Oreochromis niloticus: one gene and its partners. The protein of the gene in region 2 interacts with the protein of the main gene of each other region in a pairwise test. Links are inferred from orthologs where the notes say so. Each region holds a gene or a part of one and is shown on either strand. Other genes may lie near its edges. The genes, in order: rbbp8, lmo4b, grhl2b and nfyc.

Region 1 (7,122 bases), on a different chromosome or scaffold from region 2:
GATAGCATCATGTTAATGTGGAGTAACATCTCTGAGGAATGTTTATAGCACCTTGTTAAATTTAAGGTTTGCCCCGAACAACAGAATGGCATCAAAAATGCAAAATCAAAGGTCTAGCTGAGTGTATTAATTTTCCAAAAATGTCTTTCACAAACTGCTCACGAACATTGTGTAGAGACTATTTGCGCTCGTCTCTCTTTCTGCTTTAGACAGTGCTGAGAGCATTGGGAACCATGTTGACACCATTTTTAAAAATAGTGCAAGCACCTTCTCTGTGTTATGTTTAATATCAAACAGAATATATAGTAATGCCAATACAACTGTAATAGGTGCATGTCAGCACACAGTATCAGAAAATGCTTATTAGTCTGGTCTTCGCTTTGTTGTTACCGTGACCTTGCAAGGTCATCTCATGCAGACCGCTGTCAGTCTTCACTGAGGGAGAACGGTTATTATTTGTGGTCCCTTTTAGCTGTGTCGTTAGGTAACAGTGGTAGTTTGGCACATGTGATGAAATATAAATGTAATGAAATGTGACGAAGCTACAGTAACAGCAGTCTAATAAATGGACAGTATGTCAAAGTCTAAGCTCCAAAGAACACACACCAAACCAGTTTACATGCTTAAGATTTCTGAAAGCCAAACTGAAGGTTTTGTTTAAACCTTCTGAGGAATCTTTTCACAATCACTGTGCTGTTTCTGGAACAACAGGGTCACAATCGACAACAACAGAAAACTTCATATTAGCATGTCCATCCTTTCCACAAGAGCTCTGCTGGCTCACAGATCAGCAGTTGATTTCCACGCATGATGTTTGCATCGTTCCAACCTGTTTGTGCTTCTCTTATTTACAGCATCTGCAATTAGACAGCCACAATGAACCCAGTATACAGCCCTGCACCAACAGGGGTCCCCTTTACCAACACTAAGGGTATAGGTTATCCAGGTAACCTGAAGCATAGTGGTTTAAGAAACAAGCATAATTACAAGAAAATATCTCCCAGCATTGAGAATACTGTTATATTCTTGTTTTGTTTCTGGTTTTGGCAGCTGGATTTCCTCTAGGATACGCAGCAGCTGCTCCAGTGTACACTCCCAACGTCTACGCAGGAGCAAACCCAGGCTTCCCTAATGGTGAGAAGAAAGTAACGCTGAAATCTGCTGGAGTTTATCTGATAGGTCTTGAAACACATCTTCCTGATGCACTTCAAAAGAGTCAAACGGTTACAGCGGACTTCTTTTATTTGAATTAATTATAAATATAACGTAATAAAGAATAAAAGTTCCAAAGAGACTCTTAATAGCCCCAAAAAGTGTGTGTGCTTCTTTTCTATGAGGGTCCTGTTTTACTGAGCTGCACAGCCAGTGTTTCTACGCAGACTTCAGCTATTTTGTCCCAAAGCAAACGGCACTAATGTGAGCCGTCTTCCTCCCTCTCCAGGCTATGCTCCAAGCGCTCCTTTCAAAGTGTCCTGCTCTCCCAGCACAGGGACCGTCCCACCATACTCCTCCTCCCCAAACCCCTACCCAACTGCTGTGTACCCTGTCAGGAGCACCTACCCCCAACAGAACCCTTATGCACAGGTCAGTCCTCGCTTTTAATAACACGCCGTCTCTCTTCATCCTGGTTCAATGCTTGAGCTGTAACGTGTGGTTGTTTGTCCACCAGGCACTAATACCTTCACAACAACAAGGCCCTTACTACACACAGGCTCTGTATGCTCCACCGCCTCATGTCATCCATCACACGACAGTGGTCCAGCCCAATGGGATGCCTGCAGCAATGTATGCTCCGCCTATCCCTCCTCGCAACAATGGTGTTGCCATGGGCATGGTAGCCGGCACCACTATGGCCATGTCAGCTGGTGAGCTGCAGCGGTTTATTGATTCTTATCCAGGATACAAATGTGTTCGATTTGTAGTTATACCTGTGGCTTTCACTTCTCAGGAACTTTGTTGACAACTCCATCGCCAGCGCCCGTCGCTCCCCACCCAGTCACGATGCCCACATATCGGCCTCCTGGCACACCCAGCTACAGCTACGTGCCCCCGCAGTGGTGAAGAGAGAGAAGCGTGAGTATGTTTTAAAAGGATCACAAGTTTGGTCAAAGGTGCAGATTAAAGGTTTATGTTTACACCCGGTGTTCTCTCTGCAGGTCCGGAAGATGGTAGATATGCATTCACACTCCAGTGTTTTTCTCTCGTGGTGACGACCTGCCCCGCCCTGGCAGCGTCCGCTACCAATTCTTCTTCTTCCAGCATAATGTGAATCTAAAACCCAACTACATAGAGTCCCATTTGGATAAGCAGGGGGTGACAAATAGGCCCATCCCCACAACCCCTATTAATGGAATAAGGCTGCATTCCATACCCCCACGCCCCCACCCCCTCAGCGCCAGCACCTCTACAAACCTGCTGCATATCTCACGTCAAACTGCAAAGCCTCCATGCAAACTCTATGTGGACTCTCATGCAGGTTTTTATAGCTTAAATTCTTATGTAGTGAAAAGGGAGTTTGGAATAGTTTTTTTTTTCCTTTAATTTGGGGGATTAAATATGATGTTGAATGCATGTGTATATATAGATTTACAAAGTAATGCTAGCTCAATTCTCCCTGCTGTGACAGATGCAAATTCAATAAAAGGCACAAATCCAAAGGAACTTAGAAAAAAAGAGTAATAATCTGCAATGCTGAATCACCAGTGACTATGTCTTAAATGTGAAAGAAAAAAAAGACAAGAAACGTTTATTCATGCAAAAACATACCTGCGCCGTCCATCGCGGGCCAAACTGTACTATTTTTCACCGCTTTGTGTTTAGGTAAGTGGTTTTTATCGTTTTCTTTCAGTGATGCAGTGTTTGCATAATGTCTTACCATTTTTGTATTGTAGGAACAAAAGATGGGACTTTGAGTTTGTGCCTCTGTGACTGGTGGCCAATCCAACACTTTTACTTTTTCTGGCCTGTTAAACTTACTTTTTTTTTCATTTAAACAAATGGTGTTTCAGTTTCTTTCTCCCCCCCCCCCCAAAAGTCTGAAGCTGCTCCTGCTTGGGTGATATATGATGTATTCACTTATTTTAGCCAGAAGTGTTCTTGGTGGGGAACAAGTATAGGAAGTTATTAGAAGTCAATTGCACCCATTTAATAAGAGTGGATGAGCAGGAAGTGTGTGTGTGTGTCTGTGTGCGCGTGTGTGTGTGAAAACGGGACTCGAACGGAAACCATTCTGAATGGTGCCATACAGTGCAACATGCTTAGAATTTTAGACTTACATGTCACTCTAATGAATTTACTCTTAGGCAGATTTGAAGCACTACATCATTAAATCACCGCTAAATGTGGACATGTTAGGGCACCGTAATGATATTAAACTCCATTTGTGAATAGCACTACTGAATGAAGGCACTAATTCCAAACGGTTTGTAAAAGATATTTGACCTTTTCCGACATCGCTCGCTGTCTTACCTCAAGTCTCCAGGCTAAAAATCCACCAATGTCACTGTTTCAGACATGCTTTTCTATGTTGCCTCGGTCACCTCAGTTAAACATGTTTTGTAAATGTTATTTTTGTGACTTTGGTTGCTGTTTTGTATTCTAAAGAAAGACCAAAAATAAAAACAAATATAAGAATAACCTGTGTTGTGCATGTCTTCTCGCTGGGTGTGTTGGGGCAGCCAGAAATGATGACAAAACAAAGAAGAACATGAAACAAAATATATAATATGTTGGACGATTCAAACCGGTTTGAAAGGCAATATTTGGCATGACCATTGTTTTTTTACGCCCACATGGCATGCCAAATTTTCAGGTAATGGCTCTTTGGGAATCACCTTGTCGGTGGAAAAAATTTCTATTTCAAACCTGGAACTCAAAATATAAAGAAACACTCAGGACTTTTACACAGTACTGATTATGATATTGTACTCTAGTCCCCATGGCTCTGCTCTATATAGTATTATAGATTTTAGACATTTTATTCTTAAAGTTACTCATTGGTAATTGAGGTCAAGTCAAACAACTTTCTGTAACTTAATTTCATAAAACAAAATTTTAACTATTATCATTATTATTGTTGTTGTTAATTGTTTAGGGTTAGAGAAGTAGCAGTATAAACCACTGGCTGCTGTTTAACAGAGGATGGCGTCAAAGCTTTCCTACCTAAATTGGAAAACGAAGAAGAAGATTTCCCAGGTTGCAGTTCGGCGCGCGAATTTGGATTTTGTTATGGTCAAGCCGTAGACTGTATCGCTCAAACATGGTACTGTACTGTTAAACTATTTTCTCTTTGACAGAATATCCTAGTTTTTATTCTTTAGACGTGTCGGTGTAAGTCTGAGTCTGTTCGCGGCTGTCTTCTCATGAGGTCGTGTCATTAAGTCTAAACTTTGCATTTATTTCTTAATTGTAGTCTAAGTGGTTACTGGGAGAACAAGCCAAAAGACAGAGCTGAAGTTTTATTAATGCTTGTTCTAAAAGCCAATAAATAATAAGTAGTAAATATGTGAGTGTTGAGGGGGTGAAAGTAATTTTCTTTTTAGCTAATTAGCACTGAGTTTATGCGCGCCGCCATGTAGCAAAGCTAAAGTAGTCAAACATTTAACTTCCCGTGCTCACATTGACAAATGCGAATTAACATTAAGAAACACTAAAGTGAGCTGAAAGAAGGAATTTATTATTGTGAGGCAAACATGAAAACAAAGACTGCTGATTTGCGTTGGCAGGAAGAGAGCAGAGAGGCGCTTACAGAGAGTTTTGGAAACGACAGGAGCAGCGGGACAGCCAAATCAGCTGATCGCTTTCAAGACTTGTGGAGGCAGCTTGGAGAGTGTCACCAAAATGCACTTCAGGGTAACTGACAGTTTGATCTCACCACGTTCATGCTGGCTTTCATGTCTATAATCCGAAGTTCAGAAGCTAAATGACAACACATGTCATCATTGCACTTGTTGCTGTTTCTAGAATTGGAAGCAAAAGTAAGCAAGCTGAAAAAGGAACGTTGCCTGTGAGTATGTTGTGTCACTTTGTGTTTAAGGAGAAGGACACTGGAGTCTTAGTAAATTATTTATGAAGGGTAAAGTGATGTGTTTGTCCTCTACAGAGATGCGCAGAGGCTTGAAGTGTTTTACAATCGCAACCAGCAGCTCAAGGAGCAAAATAAAAACCTGCAGGATGACATGGCTCTCCTGGAGGAAAGGTAAATTACCCAAAGATGAATGCACTCCACTGTTATTCCCTTTGTAGCAAATGTTTTCGTTTGTTTGTTTGGAATAGATGTGTCTTGTTGAACCTCTGTTACATTTTAACTATAACTTAGGATGGGAGAGCTGCAGTTGGGCACCGATGTGGGATTTCTAATTAACTGGAGCAACATGATACCAAAGACAAGAATAGCCTTTTCTGATTCATTGCATGGATGCTTCAGATTCCCCGCAGACTGAAAGTTCACAGCATTTAGTGTCTTGCATTAAAACAATATGAAATATAAAGATTGCCAGCTGTGCTTTCCCTTTCCAGGCTTCGAGCAGCAGAGTGTGATCGATGCTCCATCTTAGAGGAGAACCTGAAAAACAGTCAGCAGCAGAATCTGCATCTTATCGAGAAACTTAGTGAGTGTTTTCATTTCAGTGTCCAACCATTAATAGCCCTCCCTGATGTGCATACACATATGCAGATGCAATCTTTCACAACAATAGTATGTTATATAATATGACGACTAATATACTAGAATGACTGTGGGGAAAAAACAAAACAACATTTCTTTAAGATTCTCAGTTTGTTTAAGAACAGAGAAAAACATTTTCTTTGCAAACCTTTTTTCCTCAGAAAATGAAAGAAACCTGCTGGAGGATGAAAACGATAAGCTGCGAGCTGAGCTGCAAAAACTGAAGAGTTCTCGGTAAGCTGTGTTGCATTCATGTTTTTGTTCACAAGAAAAATATGAGAAATGTTTTAAAAGGTTAAAGCAATAACTTGAAGTACTTTCAAGTTTATCAGTATCTCGCATCATGGAGGAAGTTTGACTACTCTTTACAGACTTGCATTGAGGTCTGGATTTTGACCGGGCCATTGCACAACACCCTGACTCTTCTGTTTTTCAGCCACTCTGTTGAATGTAGATTTGCTGGTTTGATTCAGATCATTGTCTTGTTGCATGAGCCAGTTATTGTCAAGCTTTAGCTGTCAGATGGATGACTTATACTTTGGTATACAGAGGAGCTCTAGGATGACTTGGTCTCATCTGTTCCAGAGGTCTTGTGGTTTGTTTATGAGCGTAAGCTAGCTATACTGTCATGTTCTTTTTAGAGAGAAGCAGCTTTCTCCTGAAAATGAGTCATCCCTGTTCATCTTTTTCTGACTGTACTGTCATGAACTTTAACATTCACACACTGAGACCTGTGGAGTCTGAGATGTAACCCCTGCTTTCTTATTTTATTGGGGGGTTTTTTGGGTTTTTTTTACAGTTTCTGAGCATTGTGCAGTCTACTCATGAAGGTGTCTCCTGACATTGATACGTCTGTCTCACAGGGACTGTTCTTGATTTGGTTAGATATTGTGAACAGGTTTTTCTTAGCCAATCATCCACTGCGCTCATGTACTTAAGATGTCTTCAGTAGTCTTTCATGTGTTTTGGTGTTGCCGAGCCTGGTTTGTGCATTTATTCTTTTTACAAATGCAAGTTTATTCTACTGCTCCGATAGGTTTTTGTTTTTATGGCTTCTTCCATTTGCGCCCAGATTTTAATTAATTAATTAATTTTTTTAACCTCATATTAAAAGTTTCACTGAAAAGTTACTAAATAGATTTTAAATATTTAAAATGGGGGGCTGTGTTATGATTCCTGCAAATAGCTGTAAACAGTACAATACTTTTGTTAAACCTCTTGAATTAAAACTTCTATAAAAATGTGTGTCACCTACATTGGTCAGACATTTCAGGAGTGAACAATACATTTTCCCAAGCTGCCACTCAGTATTATTATTTTTACGTGTTTATAAGCTTTTTGGTGCTAACAGCCCCAGTTTCTTCTGTGGCCCCTTGGGAAAATAAATTTCCCTCCTACAGGTTCGGTAAGTTTTAAAGTTTCAGTTTCCAGTGAAGCACTACACGTGTGCTTTTCTT
Region 2 (7,109 bases):
GCATTCAAACTGGGGAAGCCAGGAATCAAACCACTAACCTTCCAATCAGTGGATGACCTGCTCCACCACCTGAGCTACAGCCACCCCTACATATGACTGATGCATTATCCCCACTTCCTTTCACTTTACAAAAGAGAAGCTACACTGTTATGGAAATGAACACGTGTGCTGCCATTCTGCTCCTGTGACCAGATTCTGTGCAGTAGTGACTCGAGGGTGGAAAACACTGCCTGACTTTGAGTGGTCAGTAAGAATGCAAAATTGCCATATAAATCTTGGGCTATTTACTACTGAGTACCTCATACTTGGCCAAATGTGAGCACAGATGTGCTATGACATCCTCAGTTAAAGTTGAATTAAAAACGTTTGGTGTTTACTTACAAATAACCCATTTGTAAATTATTTTGGTACCAAAAATAAGTAAACATCAGAAACAAACAATACTATATTGTCTAGTATAGTCACATGAATATCATGCATGATTGTGCTATGATCTGCAAACTCTTCTTTAGCTTTGATTATGCCACATGTGCCAAACTCAAGACCATGGAGCCAAATTTGTCCCTTTGCAAAATGTTATCTAATCCATATATTATTTTAGATTCTTAATAAAATTTTAAGAAAAATTCATGATGAAAAATCTATTTCTTTTACTTATGAAGCTTAACTCATGTGTATGAGATACACCTGTTCAGCTGCTTGTTAATACAAATATATAATCTGCCAGTCACATGGCAGCAACAAATTGCATTTAGGCATTGTTAAGATGACCTGCTGAAGTTCAGAATCTGAGAGAATATGGAAAAATGGTGATTTAAGTGACTTGATGTAACATTGTTGTTGATGCCAGATGGGCTGGTCTGAGTATTTCAGAAAGTGCTGATCTGCTGGGATTTTCCCACATAACCATCTCTAGGGTTTATAGAGAATGGTCTGAGAAAATACGAGCAGCAGTTCACTGGGTGAAAATGCTGTGTTGATGCCAGAGGTCAGAGGACAACTACCAGACTTCTTTGAGCTGACAGGAAAGGAACAGTAAGTCAAAATCCACACACCGAACAACACATTGAACCTTGAAGCAGATGGCCTACAGCAGCAGAAGACCACACCTGGTGCAACTCCTATCAACTAAGAGCAGGAAATTGAGCCTACAATTCACATGGGCATTCTCAACATTGGATTTTAGAAGACTGGAAAAACGATGCCTAGTCAGATGAGCCTCGGTTTCTGTTGCCACTTTCAAGTGGTGGCGTCAGAATTTGGCATGAACAGCATGGAAGCACAGATCCATCCTGCCTTGTATCAACATTTCAGGCTGCCGGCGGTGGTGTGGGGAATATTTCTTGGAATACTAGTACCAGCTCAGCATCATTTAAACACCATAGTCTGTCTGAGTATTGCTGCTGACCATGTGCATTCCTTTATGACCACAGTGTACCCATTTTCTGATCGCAACATGTCACAAACCTCAGATCATTTCAAACTGGCTACTTGAACATTACAATGAGCTCATAATACTCACATGGTCTCCACAGTCACCAGATCTAAATCCAGTAGAGGTTCTTTGGGACGGTGTGCAGATTCCCATCATGGAAAGGCAAAGGAGCACTCTTGTGGCCTGGGTGAAGTATGTGGATCAAACTGTACATGAGAAGGCTATGCAGGGCACGCATTTTTGATCGAATTAAAGAATTTGAAGAAAATATATATATATTGCCCTTGATGAAATTGACTTTGACAGCCCTGGATTATATAATTATAATAACTTTAACATTTTGCAAACCTTTGCTATTTCCCCAGATGCACAAAGTTGTGTGTATTGGTGTGTTGTGTCTGATCCAGAAAAAAGCACTTTAGATGTTCAGGAAATTGGCATCAATCAGTTTATCACTTTCAGAAGCATCCTGAATCAACATGTTTTACAGAGAATGTGGACTTTAAGTGTTCCTTTAATGCCTCTTTAGGTAAGTAACCTTTTACTCATTTAGCAGATTTCACTCAGAGATCTTTGTGCCACGCTGTGTGCAGTCCTAGAGCAGCTTCTCTGTATCTGCAGATAATCTGAACTCTAATCTTCCCTGATCAGTTGGCTCAGCTAAACGAACATCATTCTCTTTTACAGACAACATATGCAGTAAAGCGAGGGCAACGTCGTATCGCAAATGGCGGACGAGGCCACATGTAGCTGCGCGATCTCAGAATGTGAGCCTGAGAGAAAGTTGGAGTGACCTGGAGGTTTTGTGTAAACTCTCAGGCTGAAACCGGCCTCTCTGCGGCTCAGTGTCACGTCAATACACGAGAACACAGAGCGAATCCCAGGCTGAAGTTAACCACCGTGCTCAATGCGGCTCTCCTGCTTTTTCCCACAGGACAAGCAGCTTCATTATGAAGCACCGTGGTCTCCTTTTCATCTCAGTGAGATCACCCCTGTGGGGAGTATCAACACTGTGAGCCACATCTGACGCTCTCTTGTCCCTGTTTAAACACTGAAATAGTGTTCAATCATATTGTTGTTGGCTGCTTTCTTCTTTTTTTTTGTCATAATGCAGCTGCTTGGAAACTGCCACAGGACTCAAAGATCTCAGCGGAGAAAGGAGGTGATCAATTTCTGAGGGAACCCCCACCTACCCAGCCACCCACTCTTCTCTCCCTCCTTGTCTCCCTGACCCCTCCACCTCCTCCTCACTTCAACTAGCCATAATTATTTTGCAAAAGAGCTCCAGAAAAAGAACACGCAGAGTAATTTCTCTTGCCCAGTTATGAAAAGCTCATTAAAAAAGGCCCGGAACAAACAAAGCTTTTCCTGTGAGGCCTCTTTTCAAATTCATTTCATAATTTTCCTCTGTTTTAATCATTTATATCAATTAATCATTCCTTGGTGGAAAAGACATTCTTTGCAATCTTCCGTGGGGTTTTTTTGTTCTGCTGAGTGAGAGGCTTGATGAGAATGTCAGGAGAATGTGGCTCAAACCAAGGCGGAGTAGCACTGGCTTTGCCAAAAGGGAAATCAGCTTGATGCAGCGCGATCTCTTCGGAGCTGCAGGAATAATTAAACAATTAAAGTCAAGAAAAAGATCATCTTTATACATCTGACGTCTTTCTAATGAAGCCAGGGGCATCTTATAAGAGAGCCGTTTTGTCATGTAAAACCACTCAGCCTGCTGAATCTCAAACAGGGAAACTTTTCTCCAATAGCAACTGTTTTTGGTTAAACTGAAGACGTCACTTGTTTGCAGCTTTTCTTTACAAGGAGAGCAGCCCCCCCGCCTCTCTGTCGTGGTGTCGCCACCATATACATTTCATTTTTATTAAAAAGCGTCACAGTTACCTTCAGTTGATGGGATCTCTGATGTGTCACGTGATGGTGGAAAAACTCAAACTGAAGGAATTAAAAGGATCTCAGCCAAATCAGGTCTTGCAGATTAGCCTTAATAGGTGTTGAAACCAATGACCCGAGGCTTAATGAGGTTGTAAACGACAGCAGGCCTCGCTGCGATTTTTTTCAGTGACAGACGATGGCGCCACTACGCAGCTATTAGGGGGGCTTGATATTTCCCAGAGGTTGGAGTCACCCTCGGTAAACTAAGTAGTTATTGAATGTCAACTAATTAAAGTCGGGCGTGAGATGAATGCAGCCTACAGGATGTTGCTATGCAGCTTTCAGTAGTCCTGACAATGGAGACAGTTTAATCTTTATATTATTACAATGCTTCATATCCAATCTCTCCATGTCCGAGTATTATGGACGTTTGGAAGAGATAATATATTTATCACGGTGATATTGAAGCTCCTTAAACAGGACACTGAGTTTATTCTACGGATTTTCTTTGGCGTATAAATCCGCTCTAATCTGGTCTCTGCCCCTGATTTGGCTTGTATACATTGGACTGCTGCGTGTCTCTTCTCTCCGGTCCATCTCACCTCCGTTTCCATCCTTCTCTGTCTGCGTGTCCGAGTCAGTCTCGCCTCCCTCTGATTGGCCAGAATTGTTATTCCTCCTAAATGGACCGCGCGCTGATTGGCTGCCGAGGCCCTTTCGTCACGCGGCTGAAGGGGCTTTTTTACTGGAGGTTTCTTCCTGTCAGCGACACATGTAGAACAAGCAGCTAACGGGACCCAGAGACCAGAGCAGAGGACAGTCAATTACAGCTTCTCTGCCTGCCTCCGTGTTTCTGTTTTTCCTCCCTCCCTCTTCTCCACGCACTTCCCCAGCTCTGTGGACTCAACGGCATGCGCAGACCTGTAATTACGGCTTGTGATGGACTCGTTTTTGTTCCAGCGAGAAAAAGAGCACTAAAAGCGGCAGCAGCAGTTAAACGGGAAGCATCCAGTGGAAATACTATCTGATAACTCCATTTGCTTGCTGAAGAGCCGAGCTCGAGGGTTTCGCTGCCGCGCGGAGCTGGAGGCCGACGACCGCGCTCGGTGGTGCGTCCGCTTTCTACCTGTACTTTTTTGGGGTACTGTTGTTGTAGCCTACCTGTTCGCCTACCTGCCATTCAAGCCATCAACTTTACAGCCATTACCCTGAAAGGAGACAAACGAGGTGGGTGTTTGCCGCTGGTACAGCTGTTCTGTGTGTTTGCGCTGTATATATATTTTTATATGTATATATGCTACCTGTAATTGTCCGTAGTTTTCAGAGTGGAAACAGTCGGTTTTGAGTCCTCCCGTGTCTATTTTAAGAATGCCTGCGCTCAGATGTGACAGCCGACATTACACTGGTCTTTTTTTTAAGCACTTAGCTTGTAGTAATTGAGATGTGAAGCTGCATTTCTTTTATTTTCTATTTCAAAAACAAAATCAGGCAGCAGGCAGCGGACAGAAGCTTTTAGCACATGGCTGTCTGATATGTTCCCCCCCCTCCGTCTCTCTCGCTCCCTCTTCTATTTCCATGACTTGGTCTCCAAATTGCTTGCCCGTGTAATTACTTGAGTTAGCCCATTTAAGTTAAAAGCCACCCCCCTCCTCTTCCCCTCCCCGTCCCCTCCATCCCTCAGCGGAAAAAAAGGAAACTCCTCTGAATGAAACTTGATGATGGCCCCGTCTTGTTTATCCGGGAGTCACTTTCAGGTCGGCTTTTTTGATTCATCTCCTTTTAGATTTAATCAGCACTAAGGTACGCTGTGGTTTGTCCCTAAGAGCCATCGCTAATGGGCTTACTGAATGCTTTTCTCTGTGCACCCCCCAGCCTCCCTCTTCCTAACTCTAATTAGCCTACCTGTCTTTCAACAAAGATTTGGCTTTATCCAGGCGAGGCTGCCTGACCAAATTGGAGAGGATTACATTTGAAAGAGCCCACATTAATTTGGTGGGTGAAACAAATGCCTGCATTTCAGTAGATTAGAACATTTAACATCATTACAGCGTGTGCACATCGCTGTATCAGGGCTGTGGTGTAGATGCGTGATCATATACTTGGCTGAGGTCAAAGGCTCATGCAGCATCACAACTAATGTGCCAAACATCAGCCTCTCTTTACTCGCTCCCTTGAGTTTTGCTGTGGACATCACCTCTTTGCATAGTGAGGAATTGTGCGCCATTTAGAAATTCTTAGGACAGCTCAACAAAGGCCCGTGCTGTGTAATTGTTCCTCTGGCCCCACAGTGTTATCAGTGAATAGACATTCATCACAAGAGGTCTGATGAAGCAACAGCGTAGAGATCAAGGGCAGATTAATTCACTAAGTGTCTTGTGGTTGTCTTGTAGCAGAGATCGGGCTTCGCAGCTGCAGATACAACAGTATGTTCAAACAGCTGATAACTGATCAGTTATGACAAATGTGTCAACTCATAGCTGTGTAAGTCCTGACCCTTGTGTGCACTTAAGCAGTCCTTAAGTGTAAAAGAAAAAAAAGAAGTCTGAACAGCAACCTGTCATGGTTTCTTCTGTGTGTTCTCAGGTACGATGGTGAATCCCGGAGGCAGCAGCCAGCCACCACCGGTGGGCACAGGTTCTCTGTCCTGGAAGCGGTGCGCCGGCTGCGGGGGCAAAATTGCGGACCGTTTCCTCCTTTACACCATGGACAGCTACTGGCACAGCCGATGCCTCAAGTGCTCCTGCTGCCAGGCCCAGCTGGGTGAGATCGGCACATCGTGCTACACAAAAAGTGGCATGATCCTCTGTAGAAACGACTACATCAGGTGAGGAAATCACCAGGTTGTGTGTTCAGTTTTCCGTATTTTGCTGTTGCAGCCTTACTGAGCAAGTCAGATCGTTTAAACATCTTGCATGAATTTAAAAGGAAAAACTGTGCTTCTCATAGCCCGTAGAACTTTTCTTCTGGATTATATTAAGCTGTGATATTAAATCAAGTTAAAAGCAGGACTAAGCTGATGTAGATCTGTCATGGTCATGCAACCGTCCGCAAAGTTTGGTGCATTTCTGCACGACATGTGTCTCAAATTGTACTAACGTCATCAGTGCTCATTAAGGCGTCCTGGTTGAAGGCTCTTTGGCCTGCCCTGAAAGACGCCAAACGTGGCGCCATGTTGACAGAGCACAAAGCAAAAGGAGAGAGCCTCTGCAGGTCATAACGCGGTCTGTCCTGTTTTACAGTCAACAAAAGAACAGAAAACTGGTCCTAAATGACTTGAGTTAGCTCTGCAAGAGACACAAACAGGATCTGTGTTCAGCGAAGGCTGTTTTATTCTAATTTTTTTAATACAGTGGAAAAAGGATCATTTAATTAGCAAAGAGAGCCTTTTTAAATATTCAAGTAGGTGTGCCAGACACCCAACCAGAGCTTGTTGATGACACTCATTCTGGTCATGTTGAGCAGTCTTAAGTGACGAGAGAAGGTGCAGTTTACTGAAAGTTCACATGCATCCTTGACTCACCCTCATGTGCTAGACTGGTATTGATTTTTAAGCCAATCAATTAGCCATTTGCTAAACTTGAGTTTCTATTCATGCAAGACAGTCAGAGATTCCGTTTTTATTGTTATATCATAGAAATGCATGCTCATATTCTAATGGATGGAACCGCACTCCAGTTAACATACAACGCTGCTATCAAATCTGCACGGATAATTCAAAATCTAAAGTGCGCCTGTGCGCTCTCACACCCACCTCATAAAAAGGATGGGGAAGTCAATGGGGTACTTCATT
Region 3 (7,068 bases), on a different chromosome or scaffold from region 2:
TATTTACAGAGTTATCAGAAATTCAGCGGATCGATTCGTGCCTCCTCCAGCTCACACACTGAAGTATCTTTTGAGCAAGAGCCCCAAATTTCCCCTAAAGCATCCATCAAGGAGTGAATGTTACCAGAAGTGCTCACACAAAGAGAAAAGTGCTGTATGAATGTTTGGGTGATTGGGTGAATGTGACTTGTAGCAGGAAGCACTTTGTGTGCTCGAATTGAGTAGAAAGGCACTGTGTCAGTACCACTGTAAAGCTTTGTTTTATTACTAAGAAAAATTGGGCTTAAGGCTGGTTGGACTGCCTGCATGTGCTGCAGACCGTCAGCGCTGCAATGTTGGAGAAATTGTGGTTTCTAAATTACCTCAAGGATCTTTTCTGTTGTGGCTCTGCAGTGTGGTGGTTTACACAGTCACACATTCACCTAATGAGTGAAAATGCCCCGATTGGTGTCTGGTGTCTGTGAGGTGTCTGGTGTCAAAATCTGCCAAATCAAAAATGCAGACCTACCTGCTCTGGTGACCCTTGGTGAATATGGGAGCAACTTAAAGCAGTAGTTTGTATGTCATTAGGCAAGCTGCAGAGGTTGCCAGCCTATCACACAAAGACAAAGAAACACTTCAAATTAGAATCACCAGTTAACCAGAGAAGTCTCTCAGTGGATTGTATGAGGGAAACCCATGCGTGCAGACACAGGGAGGACATGCAAGAAGGCCAGAGCTGGCATCAATGACACTCACTGCATCAGCAGCACAGAGACACCTGGATAGCCTCCAGCCCCATGAACCCCAACTTTTCTGTAGTAGGATTTGCAAAAAAACCAAACCAAACACAACACCTGATAATCATTTCATCACATTTCTAATAGTTCATACCAATAATAAATATGCATTGAGCCAATATTGGCTCGTTACACTGACAAAGTCAATCCATCCATTTTCTTAACTGCTTATTCAATTTTGGGTGGCACCGTGTCCAGTGTGTACCCTTTAGGCCTATGATCCCCTCCAAACCTTGAACTGGATAACCAGAAGAAGCTTAATGGTTGTCATCGGTATTAATTCTGACACCAAAGCTAATATTATTCGAGTACCCATGCTGCAGTCAACCTTATCCTCTATGTTTGACTTCATTCATGTTCAAGCATGTGTTTGTAACCCCTCATGTCATTCATCCATCCCCTCCCTCCACCTCCTCTTGATCTAACCTCCATCTGAATGTCAACATCCCCCCTCCTACATGCACACATACCCACACCTCTGTCTCCTTCTCAGCTGTGGGCTTCTCAACTCAAACAGGTAGACTCAGACACAAAATCCCGGCCAAGTCCAGGCAAGCTGCTACTCCTGCGAAAAAACGCCTGGAATGCAGGATACACCTTTCACCTCACAGTTGGACACACACACACACACACACACACACACACACAAACACACACGAAAAGTATGTGGTGGCTCGTGGCCCCTGACTTTCCAGTCTTGCTCTCGCCTGCTTGTGGCAGCTTGTACGTTAGCCCTCGCACGATTTCTGCTGTCATCTCGCCCCATGGCTGAGATTCCAGCAGGCGAGAGTCATGTAGGGGAAGGTAAAGATAAGAGAAAAGCTCATGTACAACCATTATTTTGATCTCACTCTGTTTTCTGTGCAGCGTTAATGAGTCGTGCATGGATTATGAGTCAACACAGACTTGGGTGCATTTAGGTAAAAGCTGCTCTTGTGTAATGTAACAGGCTTCGCTGTAATTTTGCACCTCTGTGGTGCTGTTTAATCTATTTCTCCTCTAATCACATGCATCTTAAAATACAGCAATAGAGCTGGAAGGAGGTAGGCAACAGAGCTGAATAGAACATTTTTATTTCCTTCCCTTTTGTCTCTCTGTTGCTCTTTCGCTCAGTCTGTGTGTTGTTAGAAGAAAGGGACCCCACCTGTATTTATCTAGCAGTCCCATTTACACACACACGTACACAGAGAGAGCTCAGCCAAGGCCCAGGTGCTCTGTAAAACAAATTGGACAAGGGAGGATAGTAATCACCAGCAGGGCACGCAAACACATGCATCCTCAGACGCACAAACAGGAACACACATGCAAGCACACACACTGCTGACGGTTTAACTGAATCTGAAACGTAATTTTTGGATTTCCATATAAAGGCGCCCGAAAGCATTCATAAGCAAAAGGCTGGCACGTTGTCATGCAAACACTTCCATCAGACCAGTTTGGAAACGTCTCCCCAGCCCTTTCTCAAGCTCCAACAAACCTCAGGTGCAGACGTAGACAACTGCTCGGGTTCGAAGGGGATAAAACGTCGTTTGTTTCCCCCTGAAATGCAAAGGAGAAAACAAAGGCAGCAGAAGAATTTCACTTTTTATACGCTTACTTAAATACTAATACCACTAATATGATATAATAACATATAGATATACATTCATTTAAACTTCTCTTTGAGTAAAATAAAAGAGTTTTATACTTTAAGCTGCATCAGTAATGCTGATTAAACAGAATCACAGGTCTGCTGGGATTTTCTTTATATATGAGCAACACTCAGCACAGAGTCACTTTCTGCCAGTTTATTACCAGTTTTTATGGAAATTTCCAAAAATGGTAAATGGTATAACTCAATGAGAGGTTTAAAAAAAATACAGGAAAATTAACAGTAAAAAAGTAGCATGGATAAATAAAAATGCTTCAAACTGGTGCACTGAACTGCGTTTTTACAGATTTTGACTGTGCACAGCACTGCAGTTTTTTGTGGGTAAATATGCACATTTTAAATAAAGCAACACTCCTTAATCCTGCGACTATAAGTATACGATACGATGTAACAATGTAAATTAAATTATACTCAATTTTTTTGTTGTAAAAGCAAATTATGGTGAGGTTACTGTGAACATGTTTTACAGTCTTTGTAACTCAGTAACTCTGTGAGAGCTAAGAAAAAGGAAAAAAGGTGGAAATAAAAGGAAATCATTTTTGATGCATGTCAGTTGGATTCATATGTTTGACTCTCTGACACTCAGGACTTAGTATAGGGTTAGATTACCTGTCATCATTCTCCTTTACTTAGACTTCATGGTATTAAATACATTAATGCAATACACATTAAAACTCATTTCCAGGGGGTCATAACCTAAAAGAAAGAAGCTTTAAATCTGTTTACAGCCTCATATTTTTAAAATCTTAAACTATTTTACCATTTATACAGCTTTCAAAAATAGCATATATCAGAATTGTACTCAAATAATTAATTTCCTACCACTTATCCTGTTTTTGTTTCTCTGTGACCAAACAAGTCGACATATTGTTTATATACTGAGTAATACAGTATAGTTTTATTTGCTGTGTCTCTGCTGTGTGAATGGACACTTGTGTCCATCAACCATCTGCATTAAAAAAAAGAAAAATGAAGTTTTATATTCAGCAATTACATATTGTTTGTGCCCCACCCGACCACTTCCACAGTCATTCTATGACACACACACACACACACTGTTTGCTCTGGCAGGGTAATCCCAAACACTGGGATCTCCTTATACAATAGATTCATTAAGGGGACAATGGCATTGTGTCAGCTAATGACAGGGCTCCTCCCTGCCTTCGCTCTGCTCTGAGATTACCTGGAACACACACACACACACACACACACACACACACACACACACACACACGAGTCTCTATTGAAATCTGAGGGGCCAGAAGTAAAATCAGCCGATGGGGGAATGAAAGACAGCCTGAGGCAGTGAGTGGCCAGTTTGAGGCTGTGCAGTCATGCCTCGAGTCCTCCTGTTTCAAACATAACCAATCATAACAGAATCAAATCAAATCATATCTGAAGCCTTAAAAATCCGTAAATCTAATCTGTTTCCTGTGTGTCTCCGTTTTCTGTGTTACTGCGGCGTCTTCGCTTCGCTCGCAGGTGAGGTGGGCCTCTACCTGCCCCCAGCAGCCAATCGGATCTCCTCTCCCCTCGACAGCAGCCAATCAGCGGGCAGACTCGCCCTCAGCCTCAATTGTTCGACTGTGAAAGAATTCAGAGCCACAAAGTTGACCGGCTGCCATTAAAAGAGAGTCAAGGCAAATATCGCAATGCGCCGCAGTATGACACGCTGGTGTTTGTCACCTTAATCTACGTGTAAAGTGAGCGAGAGAGACGCAGAGGGATTGGCTGCTGCCTTACCTGCCCAGGTGGAAGGAGCGGAGGAGAGGCAAGCCAAACACAAACACAGGGAGAGAGAGAGAGGAGAGAGGGAGAGAGGGGCAGGGAGAAAAGAAGCGGGGCGAGAAAAAGTCGACTTACCTGTAGCCCAACTTCTGGCAACTCACTCTCACTCTATTACCTGCTCCGACTTGAAAGTCCAGTTTCACAAGGAAGAATCGTAGAGGAAGCTAAATATGTCACAGGAGACAGACAAGTAAGTGATCGAGCCAGAGGAGAGGATCTTTGCTGATTTCTACATGCGGGGGGGAGAAAGTTGTTCAAGTGTTTTCTTTTGAGTCTGTTATTAAAACGAAGCTGCTTTAAACCCGGGATTACCTTTGTTTAGGACACACACACTTTTTTAAAAAAAGAAAAAGAAATAAGGGGGGGGTGTAAAATGGGGCTCGCGTACCGGTTTCGCTCCGTTTGGACTGTTTATGACAGATATGAAGCTGTTCTGGGGCCTGGAGGAGAAGCTGACAAGCTTGGCGCCGTGGATTTCATTAGAGGTGAATTCGCCATTTTTGACTAATGGGGAAAACCTTCAGGGTGCAAGGACTGTTTTTTTTTTTAACAATTTAATTAAAAATATACTTTTTTGTGCTGCTTTTGGATATCATTGCATCGTTTCCCTCCCTCCTCCTATTTAAGGCCTAGAGAGCGTGTTGGATCTGCCTGTGAATGGGAATAGTTTGTAAAGCCTGCTGGCCTCTTCTGTTGTTTTCTAACGGGATATACAAACTCCTTTATTTATTAACAATTTTTAAAGAAATCAACCTTTGGACTGCAGCGCTAAAATTTTAATAGAGTCGGAAGGACTTTGCTCTTGAAAAATAAAAATAAAAATTGTTATTTTTTCATTAACAATGATAATAATATTGATAATGCAGACCAGATGTTACAGGTGTCCTGCTTTCTCCAAATCCAGTGTAATTTAAATTGTAAAATTTCATAGTTTCTAATAGTGTTATAACAGGGATTAACTGCATTAATAATAATCTTATGCCTTATTTCATTTACCTAGATCATTCCTTACACGATAATCAATTATTATTTCATCCATTATCATCATTATTAAAAGTATATGTTGCAACAAATATGGCTGTCAAAGTGTGGCTGCCAGTAGTTGATTTTCCAGTCTCCCTGCAGAGCTGCTGTCTCCCGCATCAGTGGAAGCAGCAGGTGTCTGCCTCTATTTTGACACACAGCGTTAACATTTACTCAAACCCAGCAGATTAAAGCTCCAAAACTCCTAAACATCGCTCAGACGTCTGTTTTACGGCGACCCTCTTTCACAATACAAGCTCGATCCAAAGGCAGGAGCATTATTTATTTGCAGCCGGGTAAAGAAAGCATGCCATCGTGCGTTTTTGTGTGATACAATATAAGGAAGACACAGTGGAGCTTCTCTTTTGCAGTTAGCCCTTTATTTTCTGTATAAAGGTTTGCATCACTGGTCGGAGGAGGGACGAATGTCAAATAGTGAAAGCGGATCTTTCATACACTTACACAGAGATGCATGAAAGAAAAAATCCTCATTAATATTTCCTGTGTAAATGTCAAGAAGTGTGTTGAAGCCACAAACATTTTAGCCAAATGAAAAATGGCCACTGTCAGACATGACAGGAGCATTTCATTGTGCAAGTTGCCACATTCAGAGCCTTCCCTGTGATTGGCTGAGCTCAGAGAGATGTTGTGGCAACACTGTGTGTATTTAACTGGTCTCTGATCTGATCTTAAGTGAGCCTAAAGAGCAAAGAGGAAAACACACACAGAAAAACAGACAGGCGTGAACGCTGCTCTAGCTAATCAGTTCATCCATCACAGTTCAGCCTGGAAAATAACAGTTGTCATGTTTTTTTGATCGCCTACCAAAAAAAACTGTACATGTTTAAAACAGTGTTTAAATCCCTGTGCTTCTCAAGCAAACGTCTGGTAGTGGTGGTCCCCAACGAGAGGAGGGCGTACACCAGCGAGGATGAGGCGTGGCGGTCATACCTGGAGAACCCGCTGACAGCCGCCACCAAGGCGATGATGAGCATCAACGGAGACGAGGACAGTGCCAACGCCCTGGGTCTGCTCTACGACTACTACAAGGTGCCCAAATCCCTCATAAAGAGCATCTGTTGTCCTTCGCCTTTGATTCTTTCATGCATCTGTACCATTAATGAAACATTCAACATAGCAAAAGTGATAATGAACTCGGTGTGTGTGCAAGTACGCCCTGTCTGAAAGCTCTAAACACTCTGTTTTAGACAGTTTTTCTACTGCTTGACGTTTATGATGTCACTGAGATCAGATATCCCCAATATGGCCATCTCAGCCACTCACCTGCTGATCAGAGGTTTTTGTTTGTGAGGGGCAGCCAATCAGAGGCTCCTCCCCTCTTTTTTTAATTAAAATGTAGCAGCATATTAATTAACATATTTTGGACATTTCCTTTCTATTTAAATTTGTCAAATAAATGAATTCAGATCACAATGACAACTGTTTTAACTGAACCGACTGAAACATTACACAGCACAGAGGTCTGACGTAAACAGGTGACAGGTCACAGCTCCCTTATAGGGCTGACCGAGAGTGACTCGACTGTCCTCCTTTTCCCTGTAGGTGCCCAAAGACAAGAGACTTCTGCAACTTTCCAAAGCCACTGAAATTACAGAGGAACAGGAGAAGAGGTCAGTGAACACTCGTCTTGCTCGAAACACCATGAAAATATGCCCAACACGGTGGTCGACGTTTCCAGCAGCAGGTGGAAACAAACAAGGGCGCTCAGTGCAATAAAAGTAGAAAGTTAAAAAGATGAAAACTGTTTAATACGAAAGGCCATTTCTTCAAAAATTGCTTTCCGTTACATTAGTAGCAAGTCATCTA
Region 4 (7,846 bases), on a different chromosome or scaffold from region 2:
ATCAGTCAGCTGTCCTTGCAGAAATGGTCTGTCATGTGATTGGACGCAAACACAGGCAGAAATATGTGGTAAAGCATTCAGAGCATTACTTAAAACCTTCTTTGTTATTCTGTTTTCCTTTATAATAAGATGTTAAAGCAAAGAGAGATCACATTCCCTTTCTGTAGGAATTGAAGCGGCCTGACTTGGTGACCTGGGATAGACCCTCTGTACAAACCCTCGGGGGGAAGATCATGCGCGCCAAAGCAGAAATAATAGAGAGACAGGATGGTAGAGGGACTCCAAAGGTATGCCAGATGAATTACCCAAATTACACACCATATTTTACATTCTTCTAAAATTCTATACATTTTGTTACATACAGTAAATGTTTATTATTCTTGTTTTGTTCTTGTTTTTTTTCAGTCATTGTTCAAAAAGGGGAACGAGAGTAGATCAAACAGCTCAAGAGGTAACTTGATTGATATTAAACATGGTTAAAAAGTAATTTTAAAATACAAGGAAAGGTTACAGACACATTGGGAAAACGTTTGGTTGTATTTTTCTCTAATTATTACTTGATTATTAGCTTTCCAAAGGCAGAGGCAAAACAGGGAGCAGACGAACCCACAAGATTTGCCACCACTCCTACCCGAACTCAAGGACTATCACCGAAGGAAGCATGCCTCAAGTTACCCAAACGCATCTGCATTTCCTCCGAATGAACCTAACATGAACGTAGACAGGCGCAGCCAGCGGGAGAACAGGCTTAGCAATGAGCGCACCAGAGATGAACCGCGAAGGTCGGATTTCAGGGAAGGCCATGCGTACAGAGAAGGCTACATGGACTCTGATTATCGTCATCAGTATGAAGAGGGATATGGTGGAGATTCACAAAGAAGTTTGGCACTTGAGCGAGGTGATGCTCCCAAGTATGATTTTAGGGAGGATTTGCCTCGTGGCCTTGGTCAGTCTGACTATTACCCTGAGGGGGCACCTCCTTATAGAAGAGCCTATCCAGAAAGAGAGTCTGTTCAGGATTTCCACTCTGAGGATGTCAGGGGTGGGAACGGTCGTTCTGAGTATTCACCCTCCCAGGCCATGTACCCTGAAGGTGATAAACTGCGGTGGTCCCTGGAGAGGGAAGCTGATAGGCACGACGGTATGAACAAAGCAGGTAGACAGGGATCAAGTGAACCAGAAGCCAGGAGGAGGAACTTCTCTCCATCTATGGAGGGGGACCGATCACGTGACAATTTGTTCAATATAATTCAAGATTATCGTCATGAGTTGAGAGAGGCGCATCAAGATGAGGCAGTTGATAGGAGAGCTGGAGGCCCAGCCTCACAGAGACACATGGATGTTGGCAGAACCATTTCTAACATCCCAGAGCCATTCAGGCGGTTCCTGAAAGGAGGCGCCGAAGATGATGTTCACGGTAAAAGGAAAAGAAAGAGCCGCTTCTCTGATGCTACTCCAGAGGAAGTGGAAGGGACAAGGGAAATGTAAGTGTAAAAATTGTAGTTGTTTTTTTTTTTTGGAAAGTGTTGTGGGCTGCTTTTATTTATTTTTTTTTTTACATGTGTGATTGCTGCTTTCAGGTATGGGGATAATTATGGATCTCCAAATCCAAAGTTTGGAGGTGACGCAAGGCCAGGTAGTGCACCAATGAGTGGAGGACAATTTTCAGACCTCTACAGAGAACCACAGGTAGTTTATTTTAACATCACAGTAGAGTAATGTCCAGTAAAACAAATCTTTATTGACGCAAGACCTTTTGCTTTTTTAGGGTCCACATCATCCTGAAATGAACCAAAGAGGAGGCTCTGAGTCGGAGGGCGTCTTTGATATGCTGGTAAGATAATTAGTCGTTATTGGCGACTTGCACATGTTTGTGAGTCATGTTTTTGTTATGCAACTATTCACTCAGTTCTCAGTGTGTTGTTTTTTTTTTTCCCCTTTCACATTTTCTTAGAGCAACATTGAAATTGAGAATGCTGAAGAGGCTGACTTCTTGAAAAGTAAACTTTGCAACCTGCTTAAAGAATTCAAAACGAAAAAGATGGAGAAAGCTGTGGTATGAGTCATTCTGCACACCGCCTGTCTTTTTAATATAATATTAGTAAAAGAACACAAAGACTTTGCTTATATTAACAAAACGTTTGGTTTTGTCATGGTAGCAGAACAGCCACGGTCGAGAAGGGATCCCCAGAAACTACAGCAACATGGAGCTGGACCCTCGACAGCCGCCGTTCGAGAGGAACATGAGAGATGATTCGCACCACAGACAGTCAGAAGACCTCGACTTCAGAGACTGGAGGCAGCGTGAGCATCTTCCAGAGGAGCGGCACAATGTTTATCCCCCCCCTGCACACGAAGATTCCAGATACTCAAAAAGAGGCCGCTTTGAAGGTATAGTACATCACAGTGCAGTTTATTTAAACCCATTAGGGTTCAATAGTCTTATATAAAAGTTAGAGATATCAATAAAAATAACACAAGCATAATTTTCTTGAAAAATATTAGGCAAAAATAAGTATGGTAGGTTTTAAATCAATATACAGCTCAAAATAAAGGCAGACAGTAGAAGGCCACTCAGTAGTTGCTTCTTTAAAGACCCTTTCATCCATTAGTAGAGCTGCTTGTACCAGAAAGGTAGGGTAGATCAGTTTCTATAATACCTGCAAAGTTTTCCCTAATGTTCAACTCAGCAAGGCTCTCAGTTCATCCAAACCAGAGCTTCGACCAGCTGACGTAATTTTCTCCATGGTATCCCTCGGGTGATCTGTGGGATTTGGGTCAGGGCTCTGGGAGGGCCCCTCTATTAGAAAATATTCTTTCAGCAGGCAGCTGGTAGGCTGTGAATTATTGTCCTGCTGAAAGATCCTCTTCTGTGGCTTAAATCATCATTTGGCTGCTTTTTTCATTTCAAAATCCTTTCTATATCTCATCAGTTAAAAACGAATTTATCTGCTCAGTTGCAGGCTGTGATGTTCCCAGCTCTGTGCTTTCAAGTCAGTTCCACATGAACATGTGTCTGTAGCAGAATAACCACAGGTATAGTTCATCACATTAACAACAGGCATGGTTCAGGTCTGATAAACAGGAGAGGGAGGGGTATAATCACGCCTTTTGTCTGGAATTGTGCTGTATGTGTTGTTGTATGGATCGAATGCCAATTTATTGACGTATTAATAAAATAACCTTATGAACTTTGAGGTTTAAATGAAAATTGATGGGATTTTCTTCTTTGAATGTATTTTGAGTTTTGTTGTGGTATCTTTTAGGATAGTTTAGTTCAATTTATGTATAATGAGGCATAGTTTGCAAAGGTGTCTAAATTCACCTTTTGATTTTATGTAATAAATGAATTTGATTGCATCGTTAAATAAGATAATAAACAATAAGTTGTATATTCAGCTTCCCTGTGTCAGAGGAAGTGTGCCTGATTCCACTTTCTTTCATGTAATTCAATTTCATTCCTCTTTTTGTTTTTGTTTTTTGTTTTTTCAGAGGAATCTGGAGCTCCTCATACAAACTGCTTAGATGAGCCGCCCTATTATCCTGAAAGGTTTCCAGAATCCCTGCCGTCTCGTGACTACCAGCCTCCTGTTGGAGAGTTTTTCGACTCTCACTCTTCTGCACCTCCCCTCCACATGGAACAAGAATCCAGGATGCCCAGAGGACCCCGGTACTCTAACAACCTGGACAAAATCACCTCCGCCCTCCTGGAACTTGTGGCAAGGAAATAAATGTCATCACTGCAATCTCCATAATAGTCATGTATTATAATGCAGTGTTTTAAGGGTAAAGCTTAGATTTTAAAATGTGATTTGGGTTTAAATTTCTTTCCCTTCATTTTTCTTTCTTTCTGTTTTTTTTTTTTTTTGTTGTTGTTTGTGTTGGATATTTGCAAAGACCTTGGTTGATCAAATGTTGACGTCTGGTGTAAGAATTAAAACACTTGTCTACTGCAGTTGTAATCATTTCATTTTTTTCAAATTCCTTACTGACCAGCAGCCAGAAAAGTAATACTCTTATTGCCATCATTGTATTTCATATTTTCAGTGAATTTATTTTGAATTAACTGAATTAATTTGCAATGATTTGAGCTTCGTGGTGCTTTGTCATGCTGGCTGCAGCCATTAGAAGATGGGAACACTGGTTATAAAGGGAAGGGCTTTCATATTTATGCCAAATTCTGAACCTACCATCTGAATGTTGCAGCAGAAAATGAGACTCTGAGGAAAACACTGACTGGTCTACAATCTTCTGTTGCCCAATTTTGCTTAGCCTGGGCAAATTGTAGCCTCAGTTTCCTGTTCTTAGCTGAGACAAGTGGCACCCAATGTGATCTTCTGCAGCTAAAGCTCATCTACTTCAAGGTTGGACGTGTTGTGCATTAAGAAATACGCTGCTGCATAATTTGTGTTTAATGAGTGGTTATTTGAGTGACTGATGCCTTCCTCTAAGCTTGAAACAGTCTGTTCTCTGACCACTGACATCAACAAGGCATTTTCTCTCAGAGAACTCACTGGATCTATATATTTTTTGGTTGACTGTGAAGATCTCAGTTGATCAGCAGTTTCTGAAGTATTCAGACCAGCAACCATGCCTCATTCAAAGTCAATGAAATCACCTTTTTCCCCATTCCAGTGCTCAGTTTGAACTTCAGCGGTTCATATATAATGCATATATGCTGTATATATCTGTGTATGTATATATAAAATGTATTTGTTTTTTCCAAGTCACTTTGCTAATTTTACTATAAATGAGGACTTGGAGATATATAGACTACCTGAGCAATTAACTGTTTAGTGAATCAAATAATAATAAAAAACAAACAAACAAAAAACCTCACACTGACGCTTTCTCGGGGAACGTAACCTCTACGTCATCGCGTTGGACTCTTTCCGGTTCGAATAGCAGCCATCTTGTTTCCCCTTGCAGGCTAAATAAAATAAATAATACGCTGAGCTGGACTTCACTTCGAACCCGATAAAGAAAGTGAGTAAGAAATTAAAATTCATTTATCTGTGGAGTGTTTACATGAAAGTTGTCCGTGTTGGCTGGAGGTAGCTGTAATTACTTCGCTTCTTTTCATTTGCTGTTCTTGACCAATAGACGATTGTTTTGGAAGATGAACATAGGCGCCATTTCCCTCCCCGCTCTCTGAGGCGCTTATTGGTGGCCCGCTGAAAGGATCACGGACGCTCAGGAAACTGATGTTTTGTGTCCACCATTTTGGCTCATATCTGAGCGACTGTCAGACACACTGGCTATTTGCGCCTGACCCCGAATGGCGCCAGTTGCAGAACGAACTTAGCCCTAAAAACCTTGATTGGTGGAATCTAGTCCGAGGTTTGATTGGTCTGAAGGACAGATCCAAACGTTGTCTTTATTGGTTAGACTGTTTCTTCCTAGCATTGCAAACCTTTGCAAACTTTCATATGTTGGCAGGGCTCGCTGTCAGCTGGTAATTAAAATTACACACGCTGAGCTGTACAGCTCTCATCAGTCTGCATCCCCAGCCAGCTAACATTAACTCCACTAACGTTAGCATAAAGTCACGGTCAGCAGTGACCATCCTATTAGCTAGTATGCTGTATGTGTCTTCCTACGCCTGCTCCGTTAAGCATTTCACAGTGGGTACCACAGCACTACAGTGCATCTCAGTATTTTGTAGTTTATTTAGCATCCTTTGTGTGACGAATATATACCGGCTTCCGTATGCTAGCGTTGAATATAGCATTGAATTCCCTGGCTCCTTTTAGCCGCTGTGTTGAACCCAAACACCTTATAATGTAGCGACTATTTAAAGTCAACCTCCGTGCTAAATGCTGGGGTGTTAAAGCGCAAAGCTGCTCTACTCCTCGTGTGAATTCCCTGTGATGACTATATCATGCCTTTGTTTAAACTATTCATTACTTGGAAAAAAAAAATCTTGCACACAATGTTTAATTAATGAATACAGCTGTATTTTCAACCATACTAACCAAAGTCACACAACATGAAGATGCACCAAGTTAATATTTAGTTTAGTTATGCTTTAAACCTAACAGATATTCACCCCATTCTTACTACGACCTGTGTGCAGAAAACAATACAGTCTCTTTGTTGTGTTCCCACGAATATAAGAACTTAATAAAGAATAGGAGAGCTTAATCAGCTCTTATCAGCGGGACAAAAACGGTGTGCAACTTAGTATACTTTATCTCTCTAGAGGAGGTATGCTTTACGTCATCATTTGTGTGTAGGTTTAATTGAGCAGTTGAGGTCATATTTAAAAAGCCTGGGATATTAGAGCACCTTAGACAGCTTAAGTAAGCTGTGTGCAAGTCGCCCAGCTTACCATGTCGTTTTGCAGGTGTTCATGTGTTTTTCCATGTTTGCAGGTGAATGCATGGCTTGGCCTGGCTACCCTCAGGGTAGCTGCTGTGTTTATGAAACCCAACGTCTGGTTGGTGCATGTTTATCTCTAAACAGCGTCAGAGAAAGCAAACATGTTCCTGCTATGGGCAGTACAGGTCATGGGAAGGTCTCATTTCTGTGGTGACCTTGCCAGGTGTCATTACTGAGGCATTTTGGGTAGACTGAATGCAGCTACAGAGAGCTGTTCGAGCATGGCAACAGCAGTGGAGAGATTAGTCTTTGTGCAGCTCTGCTCTAATCATTAACTGGATGTCTGTAGTACCTGCTCTAGTCCCCATGCTCCTCACAAAAATAGTAAAGGGAACATTTAGCTTTGTTTCTCTTGAGTCTATCTTGTGCTCTCGCCCTCCCTCCACTTGTTCTACCCCTCCCTTCCTGTAGCAGCTCTCCTCTCTGTCCTTCTCCATCCTTCCGGTCCCCACTCCACCCCCCACCCCGGTTTTTCATTGATAGGGCAGTTTATTATCTTTCCTTGACTCTTGTGTAGCTGGATGTGTTCCTCTCTACAGTCTGTATTTTTTATTTTTTTATTAAAGCTTAACCTTCGGGCTGCACCGCCACTTGGTCGTATCTCAGCAGTTTACTCTCTAAGCTTTTAACAGGTTTGCCCATTAGAAGTAGAAGCATTCACGTCGTAGGTGGTGCATTAAACATCATGAGATGTGCACATGAGTACTAAAATCACTCTCTTGAGTTGCACACTAAAGGTTTTTGTGTCGAAAGTATGCACATTTAAGCAATGGAGAATTAACAAGAAGGACATTGTGTGACATTGCTGACGTGGTTTTTTTTGATGACGTTTCCATTGTGGAAGTTGCTGTGAGCACAGTTTTTGGGGTCAAGACAACATTGTCTTTGTTTATGGGTTTTCACCCATATCTCTTAAGTCTTGTTTATCCACAAATAGGATGAGAGTCAAATGAACTCTTTCTTTTTTTCTTTTTCTTTTTTCTCTCTGCCTTCTTCCACAACTGCTATCTAGTCAGCTGATTGTTCCATTTTGTACAAAGGCTCTCTATTGATTTGTTTTGCACAGAATAGTTTATTGTGTATATTTGATTGACACTGTGTAGGGTGTCATGGGATTTATAGTGGTTGCATTAAGTTGCCTCACTAAATGTTCACATGAGTCAAAAAATTTGTTGAATGGAGTTTGTCTAGCTAATTAATATTCTGAATACATAATGCATGACCAAGCATCTAGATATATTTGTTCCTCTGTTTGAATAATATTAAGAGTGATGTGAATCTCATTGTTAGAGGTAGGCTGGCTGGAGGCTAGATGTTTTCGGTGTGTACCTGTGACTGTGAGCAAGGATAACTGAGAATGCAAGGACAAAATGTGCATGTGTGTGGGTGTGCATGTAAGACCGTGCACAGGTATGAGACAGGGAGTCTGCTTAGTATGCTTTTGTACTTTAAATCATGTGGATGC

The links.
Region 1: the proteins of lmo4b (region 2) and rbbp8 interact in binary tests that used the Homo sapiens proteins (3 or more experiments, as listed by UniProt). The link is inferred for Oreochromis niloticus from reciprocal best matches to the Homo sapiens genes LMO4 and RBBP8.
Region 3: the proteins of lmo4b (region 2) and grhl2b interact in binary tests that used the Homo sapiens proteins (3 or more experiments, as listed by UniProt). The two-hybrid records come from large-scale screens. The link is inferred for Oreochromis niloticus from reciprocal best matches to the Homo sapiens genes LMO4 and GRHL2.
Region 4: the proteins of lmo4b (region 2) and nfyc interact in binary tests that used the Homo sapiens proteins (3 or more experiments, as listed by UniProt). The link is inferred for Oreochromis niloticus from reciprocal best matches to the Homo sapiens genes LMO4 and NFYC.

Annotation. Positions count from the first base shown.
Region 1 is NC_031974.2:26,341,187-26,348,308, forward strand, and holds the start of rbbp8 (DNA endonuclease RBBP8), read left to right. Parts: upstream 1-4,120; 5' UTR 4,121-4,258; coding exon 4,259-4,261; intron 4,262-4,283; exon of another isoform or gene 4,284-4,366; intron 4,367-4,724; coding exon 4,725-4,851; intron 4,852-4,962; coding exon 4,963-5,005; intron 5,006-5,101; coding exon 5,102-5,197; intron 5,198-5,517; coding exon 5,518-5,609; intron 5,610-5,826; coding exon 5,827-5,899; intron 5,900-7,122. Other genes in the region: fam168b (myelin-associated neurite-outgrowth inhibitor), read left to right, coding at 877-946, 1,051-1,134, 1,442-1,584, 1,670-1,865, 1,949-2,061. UniProt on the Homo sapiens protein: Endonuclease that cooperates with the MRE11-RAD50-NBN (MRN) complex in DNA-end resection, the first step of double-strand break (DSB) repair through the homologous recombination (HR) pathway.
Region 2 is NC_031986.2:31,964,648-31,971,756, reverse strand, and holds the start of lmo4b (LIM domain transcription factor LMO4b), read left to right. Parts: upstream 1-4,088; 5' UTR 4,089-4,546; intron 4,547-5,902; 5' UTR 5,903-5,907; coding exon 5,908-6,143; intron 6,144-7,109. UniProt on the Homo sapiens protein: Transcription cofactor. Plays a role in establishing motor neuron identity, in concert with MNX1, acting, at least in part, to disrupt LDB1-LHX3 complexes thereby negatively modulating interneuron genes in motor neurons.
Region 3 is NC_031985.2:19,830,367-19,837,434, forward strand, and holds the start of grhl2b (grainyhead-like transcription factor 2b), read left to right. Parts: upstream 1-4,047; 5' UTR 4,048-4,388; coding exon 4,389-4,408; intron 4,409-4,416; exon of another isoform or gene 4,417-4,703; intron 4,704-6,119; coding exon 6,120-6,291; intron 6,292-6,804; coding exon 6,805-6,872; intron 6,873-7,068. UniProt on the Homo sapiens protein: Transcription factor playing an important role in primary neurulation and in epithelial development. Binds directly to the consensus DNA sequence 5'-AACCGGTT-3' acting as an activator and repressor on distinct target genes.
Region 4 is NC_031985.2:22,027,909-22,035,754, reverse strand, and holds the start of nfyc (nuclear transcription factor Y subunit gamma), read left to right. Parts: upstream 1-4,837; 5' UTR 4,838-4,986; intron 4,987-7,846. Other genes in the region: uncharacterized protein si:ch211-13c6.2, read left to right, coding at 1-68, 168-287, 406-451, 569-1,484, 1,581-1,689, 1,769-1,834, 1,955-2,056, 2,160-2,391 and 1 more. UniProt on the Homo sapiens protein: Component of the sequence-specific heterotrimeric transcription factor (NF-Y) which specifically recognizes a 5'-CCAAT-3' box motif found in the promoters of its target genes.